Linked DNA regions of Macaca fascicularis. The protein of the gene in region 2 purifies or fractionates together with the protein of the main gene of each other region. This does not show direct contact. Links are inferred from orthologs where the notes say so. Each region holds a gene or a part of one and is shown on either strand. Other genes may lie near its edges.

Region 1 (4,824 bases), on a different chromosome or scaffold from region 2:
AGATATTATCTTACTCCAGACATTATTTTTAGATCTTTGCCAATTTGACCTGCGGCAAACGGCACTCCAGCACAGCTTTAATTTCCACTGCTCTTGTCTGCCCAGGCTGGAGTGCAGTGGTGCAATCATAGGTCACTGCAGCCTCCAACTCCCGGGTTCAAGGGATTCTCTCACCCCAGCCTCCTGAGTAGCTGGGATTACAGGTGGATGCCACCATGTCCAAACCACTTTTCTTTGGTGATCTAGATTTCATTTGCAGAATATCTGTATATTAAGGAATTTAACCTTTATGTGCGATACAGCCAGGAAAACCTTTTTTCCCCATTAGTCTTTTCACTTTGATATGCATAAACTTTAAAGTCTCAGGTAGTCACCTTTGTCAAGTCCCATTTTCTTTTACCTGGAAAATAACCTAATAGGATTTTCTACTTCCAGCCTTCCTGCCGCCTCCTCCAAATCTTCTACCAACAGTGATTCTTGGTGGTTGTAGTGACTCATGCCTGTAATCCCAGAACTTGGGGAGGCCAAGGTAGTTGGAGCCAGGAGTTGGAGCCCAGCCTGTGTAACAAGGCAATACTCTGTCTCTACAAAATTACCAAAAAAAAAAAAAAAAAAAAAAAAGGTTAGCTTGGTGTGGTGGCACACACTTCTGTAGTCCCAGCTACGTGGGAAGCTGAGGCGTGAGGATCACTTGAGCACAAGAGTTCGAGGATACAGTGAGCCATTATCACGCCACTGTCCTCCAGCATGGGCGAAATAAACCCGTTTTGTTTTTTTTTTAAATAAGAACAGTGATTCTTTTCAAGCATAATTCAGATCCCAGTTCCTTCTCTGCTGACCGTCCCAGTAGTCTCCATCCCACTCAGAGAACAGCCTCAAAATCACTCCACCTCTCACATTTAAACTTTCCCACGAGATCACAGGGTTCTTTTTCACTGCACTGAGACTTCTTCCTGCCCCTGCCTCGGGCTTTGTCCTAGCCATTCCTCTCCTGGAATACTCTTCCACTCTTCCTTTTGGTGCTTTAAGACGCCTCTTATCCTAGAGACCTATGTGAGCAGCGCCCCAACGTCACTCCCAGCTTTTTCCGACAGCATTTCAGCATTAACCACTGACCTTGGCGCATCCGCATCTGCGGATTCAGCTGAGGATTCCCCCACCACCAGCACAGGGTTCTCAGCTGCAGCCACGCCTGCCGGGCCTGCTGCAGGCGTTCAAAGAATATTAGACTCTTGTATCCTATTTAAAACCTTTTCCACTAAGAGATTTAAAACACGTGTTTCCCTGCTTTCTACTTTCACGTTACATTTCTTACGTGTAAACCTGGGAAGCCTCTAGAGATAACCGCGGTTTCTGGAGAGGCTGGGATAGACTTCGGAGCCCAGGCCGCCCGGGAACTGCCGTTCCCGGCTCCTCCCCACCCCGGCACGGATCCCTCGGCAGAGAAGTTAACCTAGGCAGAAGCGAGAGAGGATCAGCCCCTACCAGGCTGCCCCGCCACGCCCTCCCGAGGGCACCACGTGGGCCCCCAGCGCAGGCGCATTCAGTTTAGGACCAGACGTGCGGAGACCTGCGAGCCGGCGGGGCTGGGCGGGGCCGGATTGGGCGCGGGGAGACCTGGGAGCCGGCGCGGCGTGGGCGTCGCGGGGCCCGGCGCGGAGGCGGAGGCGGGGGCGGGGCGACCGAGGGCGCGCGCGAGCCCCAACGGCCGTCGCCGCAGCGCGGGAACACGCGCCGCAGATGCCCCGCCCGCGCGGGTTTGAACAAGAGGCCCCGCCCCCGGTCCGTGGGTGGCCAATCAGTGGGCACGGCGCGCGGAGGGCGCAGCGTCGACCCTTTGTGGACGCTGAGTGGCGGTCGCACGCCCCGCCCCGCGCCGGCGGGCGCTCCTCCCTCAGCGGCGGGAAGCTGGTGGCGGCGGCGGTGGCGGCGGCTGAGCAGAGGAGCCGGCGGGCGGCCTCGCGGGTCAGGTGAGCGGGTCTGGCTGACCGCGAGGGCGTCTACGGCGGCGCGCGCGTTTGTGCTGCCGGGCGCGGAGGAGCCCGGGGGCGGTGCGCGGAGTCTGTGGCTCCTGGCGCTGGCTTGGGTCCGGGGCGGAGGCGGCGCTCAGGGTTCCCGCTGGGGCTGCCGCGGGCGCCCTCGCCGCCCTCCTGGGCGCTGGTTCCACCGCGGGGTGGCCGCTGCTGAGGGGGCCCGGGGAACCAGAGGGGCCCGGGCCGCCGTCTGCGTTCCATGCGGATTGCGGAGCTGGGGCTTCGTCGAGGCCTCCGGGCGGCCCCACACGGGAGCGACTTCGCGAGGGCCCGGCTGGGGTACGCAGCGGCGTTTCCTGTACCTCGGCTCTAGTTGCCGCGGAGGGAACGCCGGGCGCGCCCCGCCACGGCCGCCCCCGCCCTGTCCCGGGCCGACCTCACTAACCGGGCCAGGGCGCGCTGCAGCCCCCTCAATTGGATCCCGGCCGCGGAGAGGGCCGAGGATGTGGGAGGAGGCCCAGACCCCGGGCGGGTCGGCCAGCGCCGTCTTTCCTGGGCTCCTCCGGCGTTCCGAGGTGGGATTAGGAAGAGTCCCCGAGACATTTGCAGAAGTCAGAGGCAAGCTTCCCTGCGCGTTTTCAAACGCTTCTCGTCCAGTAAACAGGATCGTCGTGACAAAGGCTCGTACAGCTTGCTGGAATAGAGGGTCTCCGCTGCCTCGCCTCTCCTGTGGCCTTCGTGTGGGACTCACGAGACGGCAGGACCCAGATAACCGTTCTCTCAAAGTGAGCCACAGAAAAACATCGCCTGTTCCCAAAACTTAGGTTTTATAAACTTTCTACGTACAACCACTCTATTTTCAAGTGTCACCATGTTTTATAATTAGGGTGGAAATCAACACAAAGTGAGTTACACCCTTTTTCTAGGAAGAGTGGTAGGCTTTATCTTAGAAAAGGGGCCAGGAAGTTTCCCTCAACTTGCCATTGGAACATGTTTTCAGGGAAAGGAAGGTGTATCGTTCCAAGTAACAAAAGTACCTGAAATTAGCTGGGCGCGGTAGCTCACACTTACCAGCACTTTGGGAGGAGGCCTAGGCGGGTGGATCACCTGAGGTCCCCAGTTCGAGACCAGCTGGCCAACATGGTGAAACCCCGTCTCTACTAAAAATACAAAAATTAGCTGGGCGTGATGGCGCATGCCTGTAATCGTAATCCTAGCTACACGGGAGGCTGAGGCAGAAGAATCACTTGAACCCGGAAGGCGGAGGTTCTCCAGCCTGGACGACAGAGCAAGACTCCGTCTCAAAAACAAAACAAAACAAAAATAACCCCTGAAATTAACGTATCAGTAATTGTTCAGGAACAGCCTCCAGCAGACTGTAGTGGAAGGTGGAGCTCCCACTCAGTAGATCTCAAGACTGAAGACCTTGCTCCTCTTCTTCCTGTTTTTCCGATAGAGTATTTCAAAGCTTATCTGATGTGTGAGAAATGGAAATTGTTGATAATTTGCTTAACCCGAAACTTCGAAGTGGCTGCAAGTCCAGCTGTGAAGGTGACAGGTTAGGTCAGAGTTGAGTCTGTCCCCAGCAGTCCCAGCCCTATTGGTCAGAATCTGGGAATCTGCATTTTCAGCCAGCCTCATGGGATTGCTCAGCCACGAAGGTGTGGCGGCTGCTGCTGTAGTGAAGGGCCGGTCCCTCAGCTGTACTCTGCTTGCCTGAGTAGCACTGCGGGGCTGCTCTCTGCTGGCCTCTGCCTCCGTGGGCTTAGTTTACTCTGTCCCTAGTGGCCTGTAGGCTGTCCCACCTGCCATGTCAGACATATCTTCAGTCTGTCTGACCCTCTTGGTTTTTCTCTTTCTGGTTGATGCTTGGTTTAGAAGCCTAAGGGCGGTGCTGGGAGTTGACTGAGGGGTGAACGACTTGGCTGTCCCGTTGACACCCTGTGGAGTTGGTGGGATTTTAGGCATTTACCTAGATGTGTAGAAGGAGCTTCAAAACTGAGCAGGGGGTCAGGCATGGTGGCTCACACTTGTAATCCAACACTTTGGGAGGCTGAGGTGGTCGGATTGCCTGAGGTCAGGAGTTGGAGATCAGCCTGGACAACATGGTGAAACCCCGTCTCTGCAAAAAATACAAAAATTAGCCAGGTGTGGTGCCACGTGCCTGTAGTCCCAGCTACTCAGGAGGCTGAGGCAGGAGAATCGCTTGAACCTGGGAGGTGGAGGTTGCAGTGAACTGAGATTGCATCACTGCACTCCAGCCTGGGGGACAGAATGAGACTCCTTCTTAAAAAAAAAAAAAATTGAGCAGGGAGCTAGGCTCCACAGCCCCGCCCGTATGGTATAGGGCCCTTCCTTCCATATTAGAAGGAGTTAAGCAGCCTCAGGCCAGAGTCACACTGGAGGCCCTCAGGGAGCTGGGCCCAGCCCAGGCATCCCTCAGGGCTGGTCAAGATGATGCTCTTGGTGACTTTGTCCCAAACACAGATATGGCCCAATTCAGGGTGATCCTCACAGGCCAGCTTCTCCGGGCCCAACCTTATCCTCTTCACCCCTGAACGCACGTTGTGGGTGACAGCTCTTAGGGGTCACGCGACTGTAAAAAACACCTGTGAGCTTTACTCCTTTTTGTATTAATAGTAATAAACTTGTTAGCATTTTAAAATATTGGGTACAACACAGAATTAGCTGCTGGAGATTTGGAACATTGGACAGCAATGATTTGAAGTGACTGAACAGGAATATTCTCATGGTACCAGAATGGGATCTGTGGATGGGATGAGATGCAGTGGAGGATGATGGAGATTCTCTCTCGTCCCTTGTAGGACTTGTATAACCCAGGCACATCTAC
Region 2 (4,593 bases):
CCAACTGAAAAAAAACCTCCAAAAGAGTACCCTACAGACAGGTCAGAAATATGAGGACAACACAATCTAGGGAAAAAAGGTTTATGAATTTTCACCAAATTTTTAAAATTCAAAAGTACATGTTTAAATTTATGAGTTTTGTTTGGAAAATTCCTACTGTAATTCAAGACACACAATACCATTAAAAAACGTCAACATTTCTGAGGAATGAAACAATGCAACAACTTTGTGGGAAATGCCTCTGCTGCCTAAGACCATCTCAAATGAATGCAAAACCTTGAAGTTCCAAAACTTAAACTTCTGAAACACATTAGTAAACAAATATGGGGAGAAAATTAGACGTTAAGCACTTCAACTGATCAAACACAGTTTCTACCTGCACAAGAATAACGCTTCCTAGAAGACAAGCAATATATGCATAGCATTGTTACTGTCTTATCCACCTAAATACTAGAAAGACAACAAAACGAATAACCTGAGCTATCATTTCTTCACAGAATATGCCAATCAGCATCACACTCCCAAAGTGGACAAATTCAAAAGTAGTTAAAAATCTTCCCATAAAAATCAAAGACGCTGTTAAGAATGTTTCTGAACCAAATGCTGATGGCACCTATTTCAATTTACTTATCTAAAACAATGTACAAACATAAAAACGCATCGCCATTTATTTGTATGTGGAATTTACATAACAAAGAAACCCTTAAATGCAGCTCACAGCTTTCACGTGAGGATTTTGTATGTCTCATCACCTTTCATATAAATTCAGAGGAAAAAATAATAAAAACAAGGCATAAATAAATGAAATTTAAGGCTGTTTCTCAGAAAGGTAACTTTTAAAACTGTTCTTACATTTCTTGGACAATAAACACAAAATCATCTTGAATTTATAGTAGTTTCGGCTTCAAGGAAATCCCTCAGTAGGAAACATTTCTGAAAAAATTACATATCCAAAATTTGCATTATTAAACGCTTTCTTACCTTCTGCTACATCATCATCTACTGCTCCTTTCACCTGAGAAAAACACCACTGAATATCATTCCCTCCTCCAGCTCCTGGAAAAATAAAACATACCAATTAAAACCGAGTTCTGCTTATGTTGACTCTCGTAAACACAGAGATGGTATCCATGGTTGGCATGATACTAACAGCCTAGTTCTGCCCACACATACAACTACCACCAAGAGTACCAGTTTGGAAAAAGATGAGACCCCAATAGTTGGTACTGTACTAAAAAGAAAAAAACAAACATTCCAGGTATGAAATTATTTAAAGGCACATGATCTACGGTCATTATACATCTGTTCACAAACCTCCTCTCAAATACAGTAAAAGCCTTACATTCAGGCAAGACCTACCAGAAAAAAAGTAAATACCAAGAGTTAAAGAGTTTTCTTTTTAAGTGTACAAAAAGCCTGCAGAAGAATTAATAAGGTTAACTACCATGAAACATAGAACGAAGAGAAAACTTCGGGAACATTACTGCCTGGGTAAGAAGTAATGATTCATATGAACCCTATCACCAAAGTGCACACACAGCAAACACTACACCCATTTCTTTGCATTCATTACCAGCAAATCACTGGCTCCAGACAGAGAGGAAAAGAAACCGAAATGAATGCTGCTAAAGAGACTGTCAAAGGAAGCTTGTTCTGCCTCCCTTCACCTCATCTCTCGACTCCAAAGGACCTGGCAAAGAATTCATTTCGCTAACATGTCATCTCGTGCAAAACAATTTTAATCTCATTTCATTATTCAACAAGGCCAACAAGCAACTTATTTATAGCAAACAAGTCAATCCGACACGTTAACTTTTTCAAAAGGTTTAATTATCTAAATAATGAATATAATAGCACGGAAAACTGGTCTCATCGCGGAATGTTTCTATTTCACGTGCAAGTACTGAGGTCGAAATCGTGAAAATGTCCTGGGGCTCTAGGGAGAAAGAAACTGAATCTAAATCCGGAATTGATTCTACTACATGAAGGAAAAGATTTAGCAACACCAACATGTACAAAAAGAATTCTCAAAGCAATTACATTACTTCTCTCTCCCCTATCACCCCTATTCCTTGCTAAATTTATTCCTAAACTGATTTTCTCTCTACATCCTTTCCCCTCCCTTTCAAAGCTTCTACCTAAATCTCTCTCCTCCTAGCTATTTATATCTCTGAACTCCGCAACTATTTTAACTAACTCTACCAAACCCTTTTGGGAAAAGGACATCTGCAAAAAAGCTAACATACTAAACGGAAAGTTTAAATTATTTTCATGCAACTTGCTGTACATGAAAGGCCTTGCACTCTTCGGCGGTAAGAGGGAAGAAACGGAAACGAAATGGTTCGAAACAAAAAATTTAGGCTTCCAGTCTCAAAAATACTGGCATCCACAGTGGGGGGAAAAATACACATATGCCCCCATTGTATTTTAACTTGTAAAGCGCTCTTCCTTCTCGGTGCAAAATAAATGTGTATATACACCCAAGAAGACTTGCAGCAGGGGAAAAAATACAAATTAAATGAAGACCTGCAGGAAAAAAAAAAAAAGGCGAGGGGCGAGGTGGGGAGGTGGGAGAGGATCCACCAGGCTCCCGAGCGGGAGGGACAAATCTGCACGCGCCCCCACCCCGCCCCACCCACGCCTCACCCCAAGCTCGCCGGCACACCCCACCCCCACCACCGCCACGGCGCCAGCCCCGTTCTCCAAGCCCAGTGACTCTCACTGTGACCACTTGCCTCCTGGGAGCCCTCCCCGCCCCCACCCCACCCCTCTGGACCCTACTCCCTCAAACCCGAGGGGCGTCCTATGGCTCCGCGCGAGGCGCGGGCGGTCGCTAGGGGGTGATGGAGGGAAAAAGGAGGAAGCGGTGCCTTGTCAGGGGGCGAGGGGGATTTCTCCTTTACCTGCCATGTTGCGCTGCAAATGGTGACCCTGCTGGGTTCCTCGGGGTCTCCGCTTCCTGAACTCACCCCCCTCACCTGGGGATGGGGGGGTAGAGAGGGCGGATGGCGGCGGATGGCACCTGCGGGGGGAGGGGACGGGGGCCGGGGGAAAAGGAAGGAGGGGCGGGCAGACCAGCCGGCAGGATGCTAGATTTCACTCTGGGGCTTCCCCGCTCGTGCTCTTTCTCCGGCAGCGGCAGCGGCGGCTACGACAGCGACGGCGGCGGCGGCAGCGGCAGGGGTAGGCGACTCCACTTTCAAAATGGCGCCGGCTGGCCTGGCCAGTGACGTCACGCAGAGGGCGGAGCTGCCAGGCTGGGGCGGAGAGCAGAGGGGGAGGGGCGGGGGAGCGGCCGGGCCTGCTCCTGGCCACGCCCCCTTCCTGCTGCGCTCGTGCCCCGCCCTCCGCGTCCGGACCGGCGGGGCCTGCGCCGCTCCCGCGTCTGTCCACGGCACCCCATCTGCCCGCTCCGCCTGCGCCAGGCCGCGGCTGTATGCACCTGGCAGTGTCCCAGCCTCTCGCACTAGCGCGGGAGCTCTGGGGCGGGCTCAGCAGTCCAGTTTACGTCCTCGCCTGCAGGGATTCGTGGGGTCCTACGTCTTTTAGGAATACCAGGGCCGGGGACCGTGGGTCACGCCTGTAATCCCAGCACTTTGGAAGGCTGAGGCGGGCGGATCACAAGGTCAGGAGTTCGAGACCAGCCTGGCCAACATGGTGACTCCCCATCTCTACTAAAAAAACATACAAAAATTAGCCAGGTGTGGTGGTGTGCGCCTGTAATCCCAGCCACGAGGGAGGCTGAGGTGTGAGAATTGCTTGAACCCGGGAGGCAGAGGTCGCAGTAAGCCGAGATCGCGCCACTGCACTCCAGCCTGGGCAACAGAGCAAGACTCCGCGTCAAAAAAAAAAAATACTCGCACTACTACTTAGGAAAGTAAGTAAAAAGGAAGAGTAAGTAAAAAGGGCTGTCACTTTGGGTCAGCCCTGAGGCCGCAAAGAAAGGGAGAGCGGTGCAGACTTACTGCTCAGCCGGGGTGAAAGTTCACGGTGTTCAGAGGGACACCATTGGGCTGGTTCCATCTAGGTAAGTTAAGTCACCTTCGCGTGGGCCCCAGGAACCAAGGCAGGAGTCCTGGGCACTGCAGGCACTAAGGGTGGTTTGTAAGAGAAACCTGAGTTTGTGATGAGAAGGGTATGGCCCAAGAAGTGACTTGGCGTCTCTCCAGCTAAACGTGGTGTACTGCGTGCTTAAGAGCTGGGCGTTTAAGAGCAGTGGCTCACGTCTGCAGTCCCAGCAGTTTGGGAAGCCGGGGTGGGAGGATCGCTTGAGGCCAGGAGTTCCGAGTTAAGCCTAGAGAACATAGGGAGACCCATCTCTACAAAAAAAAAAGTTTTTTTAAATTAGCCAGGTATGATGGCGTGCCTATAGTGCTACTAGGAGGCTGCAGCTGGAGGATTGCTTGAGCCCAGTAGGTCAAGGCTGCAGTGGGCTGTGTGATCACACCACTGCACTCCAGCTTGGGAGACAGAATGCGATCCTGTCCAAACAAAAACAAAAACACAAAAAGTGCTGGACTCTGAAGCCAGGCTGCCTAATGTGATTCCAAAGCTCAGGAGATGAAGATGACAGTCCTACCTGATAGGATTGTT
Region 3 (4,568 bases), on a different chromosome or scaffold from region 2:
ACAGCCCCACCGCTAAGCTTCTAGGGTGCTTTAGGAATATTTGAGTCTCAGTTCCCTCATTTATTAATACATTCCCTTACAGAATACAGAACTCTCTGAATATTCAGTTCCTCAACTACATGATGAAGTGGTGAAATGATCCATGTCTATGCTCTCTTTCAGCTTTATGATTCTAAGGAGAAAGAGAATCTGCATTATTACTACCATGAGACTTAGATGAAGCCTGCTTATGTACCAATAAAGTAGAAAAGAAAAATACGGGAAAATAAGCCATTTGAGGACCACACAAATATTCACCAATACTACCATATTTTTGTGAATTTTCTTCACAATACTACCATACAGAAAGGCCTTTCTAAAGAACTTTCTTTTCCAGGATAAGCAGTTACCCTAAACCAAGAAGACCAAAGCATCTATTTAAAAAGGTAAGTTGTCCAGGCATGGTAGCTCAATCCTATAATCCCAGTACTTTGGGAAGCCAAGTGGGGCAAATCACTTGAGGCCAGGAGTTCAAGACCAGCCTGGCCAACATGGTGAAATCCCATCTCTACTAAAAATACAAAAATTAGCCGGGCATGGTGGTGCACGCCGGTAATCCCAGCTACTTGGGAGGCTGAGGCACATGAATCACTTGAACCCAGGAGGTAGAAGTTGCAGTGAGCCAAGATTGTGCCACTGCACTCCAGCCTGGGCAACACAGCGAGACCCTGTCTCTAAAAAAAATAAAATGAAAAGTAATACAAAATAAAAACGATGAATTACTAACAATTATACAATCTTCTAATCAGCAGATTTTCCTTTTATTTTCTCTCAGTATTTTCACCCAGTTCTTCAATCTTCAGAGAACTTGTTTTGACAAAATGAGAAGCTGAGCCCTAATTAAACTTATCTAAAGAATGTATAATTATTAAAAATCTGATTTTCTTATGTATTTGTATAGAAGAGTGCTGGTATACTGAAAGATCAAATTGTAGTTTAAGAAAGGCAGCAATGAAGATATATAACAATTAATGTTACATTAATATTAAACTCCAGGTTAATTTTCCCAAATAATGTTATGGGTCAGTTTCCAAATTCTCTTTATTCATGTTATAGTCCAACTTTTCGATCTTCCAAAGTCAAAATAATCTTCACTTTACCTTCTATGTAGCCTTCTACCTCCTCTATTGTGCGTCCATCTCTCTATCTCCCCCTGCTAAGGTTTTCTCCTTTTTCTACTGTATATCACAGCAGGTCTCCACTTCAATTCTTAGTTTCCTTCCCTGGTTTTTCCACTTGTTCTTCCCATTCCTTTACCCCACTGTTTTATAGGATTCTCCTTTCTTTTCATCCCTAGGACTTACTGTCACAGTACTGCATCTCCTATTCTCGCTTCTTTTGGTAAGTTTTTACACACATTACTTCTTCAGAACCTAAGGTTTCTCTTCTGTAGTCCTTTTTCAAAGAATATTTATCAATTCATCTCTAGAATCCCAAATATACTCTTGAGTCCTCATACCTAAGTATCCTTCCTACTCCTTTTCTCTTTACAGTCACTAATTCCCAGAATCCTGTCTGAAACTACAAATATCCCCTCAAAACCAAATGCCTATTCAATTGTCTCCACTTTCCAGCAATTATCCCATGTTCACCTCATTCTTTGTCCTCGGCCCAAGTATCCCCTAACCTGGCACAAGCCATTTAATGATCTAAAATTCCAAAGCCTATCTCTTCAACATGGCTCTCCTCTCTTTCCAGCAAACTGTTTCCCTAACTCCCAATGCTTCACTAATTCAAAGTCTTAGGCCAGTACATTGCTTCCCTCAGATCTATTAGCCCCGCAAAAACTGATTGCCCAAATCTTCCTCTAAGCTTCCCAGACCTTACAACTGCAGCACTTCCATTCACCAAACCGCATTTATAGTTATTTCTCAATCTTTAGAGCCTATGGTCACTTTGCAAATTCTTCAGTCCTCTCCTTCTTCTCTCTCCCTTATCCTGTCCAGCTTCTCAGCACATTCCTATTACCCTTAACAATCTTCATGGCTATATTCTCCACCTTACCTTAGGCCTACTCCCCAAACTTTCTCATTCTCCCTTAAGAGGCCTAATCTCACCTCTCATTCCCTGACTGTCTTTAGACCTCTGGGAATTATCTAGAATCGTCTGCTTCCTAGTGCTCCTCTTTCGTTCTCCAACCCTGTCCAACTCCCTAAGCTTTTCTACTATCTAGTTCTCACAGTATACATATTAGAACTTTTACAATATCCACTCCTCCCAAACCTTTTCTTAGTTGTTGCCTCAATTCCCCTCAACTTTTCTCTCGGTCATTCCCCATTTCCCTCCACCTTCCCTGGCCGATTTTCCTCCACCTTTGTCACCTTTTTCTAAACCTCCTTCATTCTGGAGGTGATTCTCAGTTATGTTAGTCTCTCAGCTTCCCCAACCTTTGCCTCATTCCCCTCTCCCTCCAACAACATTATTTTTCCTCCAGTTTCTATTGACTTGGCGCCTCCCCTAGTTCCCCAATCTGCCTTCTACTCCATCTAAATATCTCCAGGCCGCCGCCAACATTTTCTCCTATCGGTAGACTCCTTCCCCGTGCCTCTCTGAACGCTCAGAGCCACCATTCTCCAATGGCCGGGGCCTGGCCCCTAGGTAGGAGTATGGGTCACGTACCCCATTCGCATCTTGGCTCCGCTCTGACTGCCCCCACTGCCGGGTAGAGGTGGGCGAGAGGGAAGGCGGCCGAGGTGCATGCTCTTTTCGAGGGCCGACATCAAGGAAAGGCTGCACGCACGTAGTCAAACAGTAGGCGAACCTTCGTCCCACGTTGAGTGTGGCCCAACCGGTCACGACTCGCTCCCCTAACGACGCCCAGTCGCCTTTGGACAGCACCCAGCTACCGGTAGCACCGCCTACCGCCCACCGGCTCTGCAAACTCCACCCACTCGCTTCAGCACTTCCACCGGAAGTGCGCAACAGCCCTCACACAAAGGAAGCTGGGTAACAGAGTCTGCGAACTCCGCAGACTCCCAACTGGAAACCCGACAACTTTCACCGGAAAGAGGAGCCGTCTTCAGGGCAATGCACCCTGGGCAATGGAGTCCTCAACGGGCGTATCCGTATGCGCTTGCGCAGCCGGAGGCGCCCCCAGCCAACCCCGCAGAGGTATTGTAGCAAAGCATCCTGGGTATTGTAGTCTATTGGCGGGAAGGCGTCTTGGCGCCTTCTCTTCCCACTGTTTTCCGGAGACTGTTAGAGGAAGAGTGGCTTTTTCCTGCCTCCCAGGCTGCCCAGCGGCGCCGGTTGCCGGGGAACGCAGGCGCCGTGGGGAGGGATGGCGGGAGGCGGCTGCTTAGGTGGTGGAGACAGAGTTGTGCTGATGAAGAAGAGCTCGGGCTCATCATGAAGCAACGTAAAGGCCAAGGGCCTGGGGGCAGCCGTGGGCGCAAAAAAAGAGGTAACCCGAGCGATCAAAGATTGAGGAAAGCGTTAACAGGGGAGCAGGGTGTAAGGAATTTTAGGGAGACCCCCACCCCCGCTGGATAAACAAGAAAAGGGACGTAAGAAGGGAAATAGCCAGGGGACCAGAAGGTTAAAAGGAAGGGCAATTGGCCCTCCAGAGAATAGAAAGGAATTAGGGGCTGGGGTAGGGGCCACAAAGTGGTGATTAATGAGATGAAGGTTACCGGTGGGATGACTGTAGAGGAGAAGAGCAAACAATAATAGGATTGGTTTTGATAACGAAGTGAAATGTATGTGTGCGAGTAGCTTTAGAGGTCCGCAGGGACAGGAAGAAACATAAATTGGCAAAGGGATGATATCATTTCTTGTGTGATTGTGGACAAGAATCACGTTTTATACATTACTGAATGACCAAGGATTAGTACAAAGCAGGACTCGGTAAATGTTTGTTGAATGAATGAAGCATGAAGGACTGGCTATGAGCAGGAGTTGGGGAAAAAATAATTGTAGAGTATAGAGCGGGGAAGAGTGGGGAATGACAAGTGTGATAGGATTGAAGTGGGGGTAAGGGCATGAGGTTCTCCTGAAGGACCTGAGATCGTGAAAGAGTGTACAGCAGAGAGTCCTTATCAGGTTAACACCTCGAGGAGACACAGGCTCACCGAGTAGGGGATGTTAGCTGCAGTGAGAACAGTCAAACTGGGGACCGAGGGCAGATCAGGAAACTGGATATTGAATCTCTACAAGACTGCCTCGAAGGGAAAAAGGACAGTGGGTGAACCTGCCTTTTTGCATCGTAGGCAGTTTAGTGAGAAAAGAAGTATTGGTTTGGAGCAGTGATAGGACATTAGGCCATTAGGTTGAGGACTGAAGCTACAATCTGGGAATTACTCTTATCCAAGCTGTTTAAAGATTACTAAGGCAGTTTTGAGGTAGTGACTTTCCTGCCACGAAAGATAGGAGGATCTGAGACTGAAGCATACTAGTGCTCCCTGTGTCAAACCAGTTAAGCATGTTTGGTTGATAAGCGGAAAGTCAAAGTAGAAATAGTATAGTATAGAACAGAATATACTTTTTTTGCTATACCATTTCCATAGTAGAAATATATACACAATCGTGTA

Evidence for each region.
Region 1: the proteins of PPP2R2A (region 2) and CDCA4 purify together in Homo sapiens (affinity purification with mass spectrometry; 4 studies listed by BioGRID and IntAct, with this or other methods). This does not show direct contact. The link is inferred for Macaca fascicularis from reciprocal best matches to the Homo sapiens genes PPP2R2A and CDCA4.
Region 3: the proteins of PPP2R2A (region 2) and PPME1 purify together in Homo sapiens (affinity purification with mass spectrometry; 3 studies listed by BioGRID and IntAct, with this or other methods). This does not show direct contact. The link is inferred for Macaca fascicularis from reciprocal best matches to the Homo sapiens genes PPP2R2A and PPME1.

What each region holds. Positions count from the first base shown.
Region 1 is NC_088381.1:173,204,149-173,208,972, reverse strand, and holds the start of CDCA4 (cell division cycle-associated protein 4), read left to right. Parts: upstream 1-1,896; 5' UTR 1,897-2,476; coding exon 2,477-2,758; intron 2,759-4,824. UniProt on the Homo sapiens protein: May participate in the regulation of cell proliferation through the E2F/RB pathway. May be involved in molecular regulation of hematopoietic stem cells and progenitor cell lineage commitment and differentiation.
Region 2 is NC_088382.1:29,477,847-29,482,439, reverse strand, and holds the start of PPP2R2A (serine/threonine-protein phosphatase 2A 55 kDa regulatory subunit B alpha isoform), read right to left. Parts: upstream 3,222-4,593; 5' UTR 2,911-3,221; coding exon 2,904-2,910; intron 1,057-2,903; coding exon 982-1,056; intron 1-981. UniProt on the Homo sapiens protein: Substrate-recognition subunit of protein phosphatase 2A (PP2A) that plays a key role in cell cycle by controlling mitosis entry and exit. Involved in chromosome clustering during late mitosis by mediating dephosphorylation of MKI67.
Region 3 is NC_088388.1:73,042,979-73,047,546, reverse strand, and holds the start of PPME1 (protein phosphatase methylesterase 1), read right to left. Parts: upstream 2,929-4,568; 5' UTR 2,760-2,928; coding exon 2,659-2,759; intron 1-2,658. Other genes in the region: C2CD3 (C2 domain-containing protein 3), read left to right, coding at 3,388-3,442. UniProt on the Homo sapiens protein: Demethylates proteins that have been reversibly carboxymethylated. Demethylates PPP2CB (in vitro) and PPP2CA. Binding to PPP2CA displaces the manganese ion and inactivates the enzyme.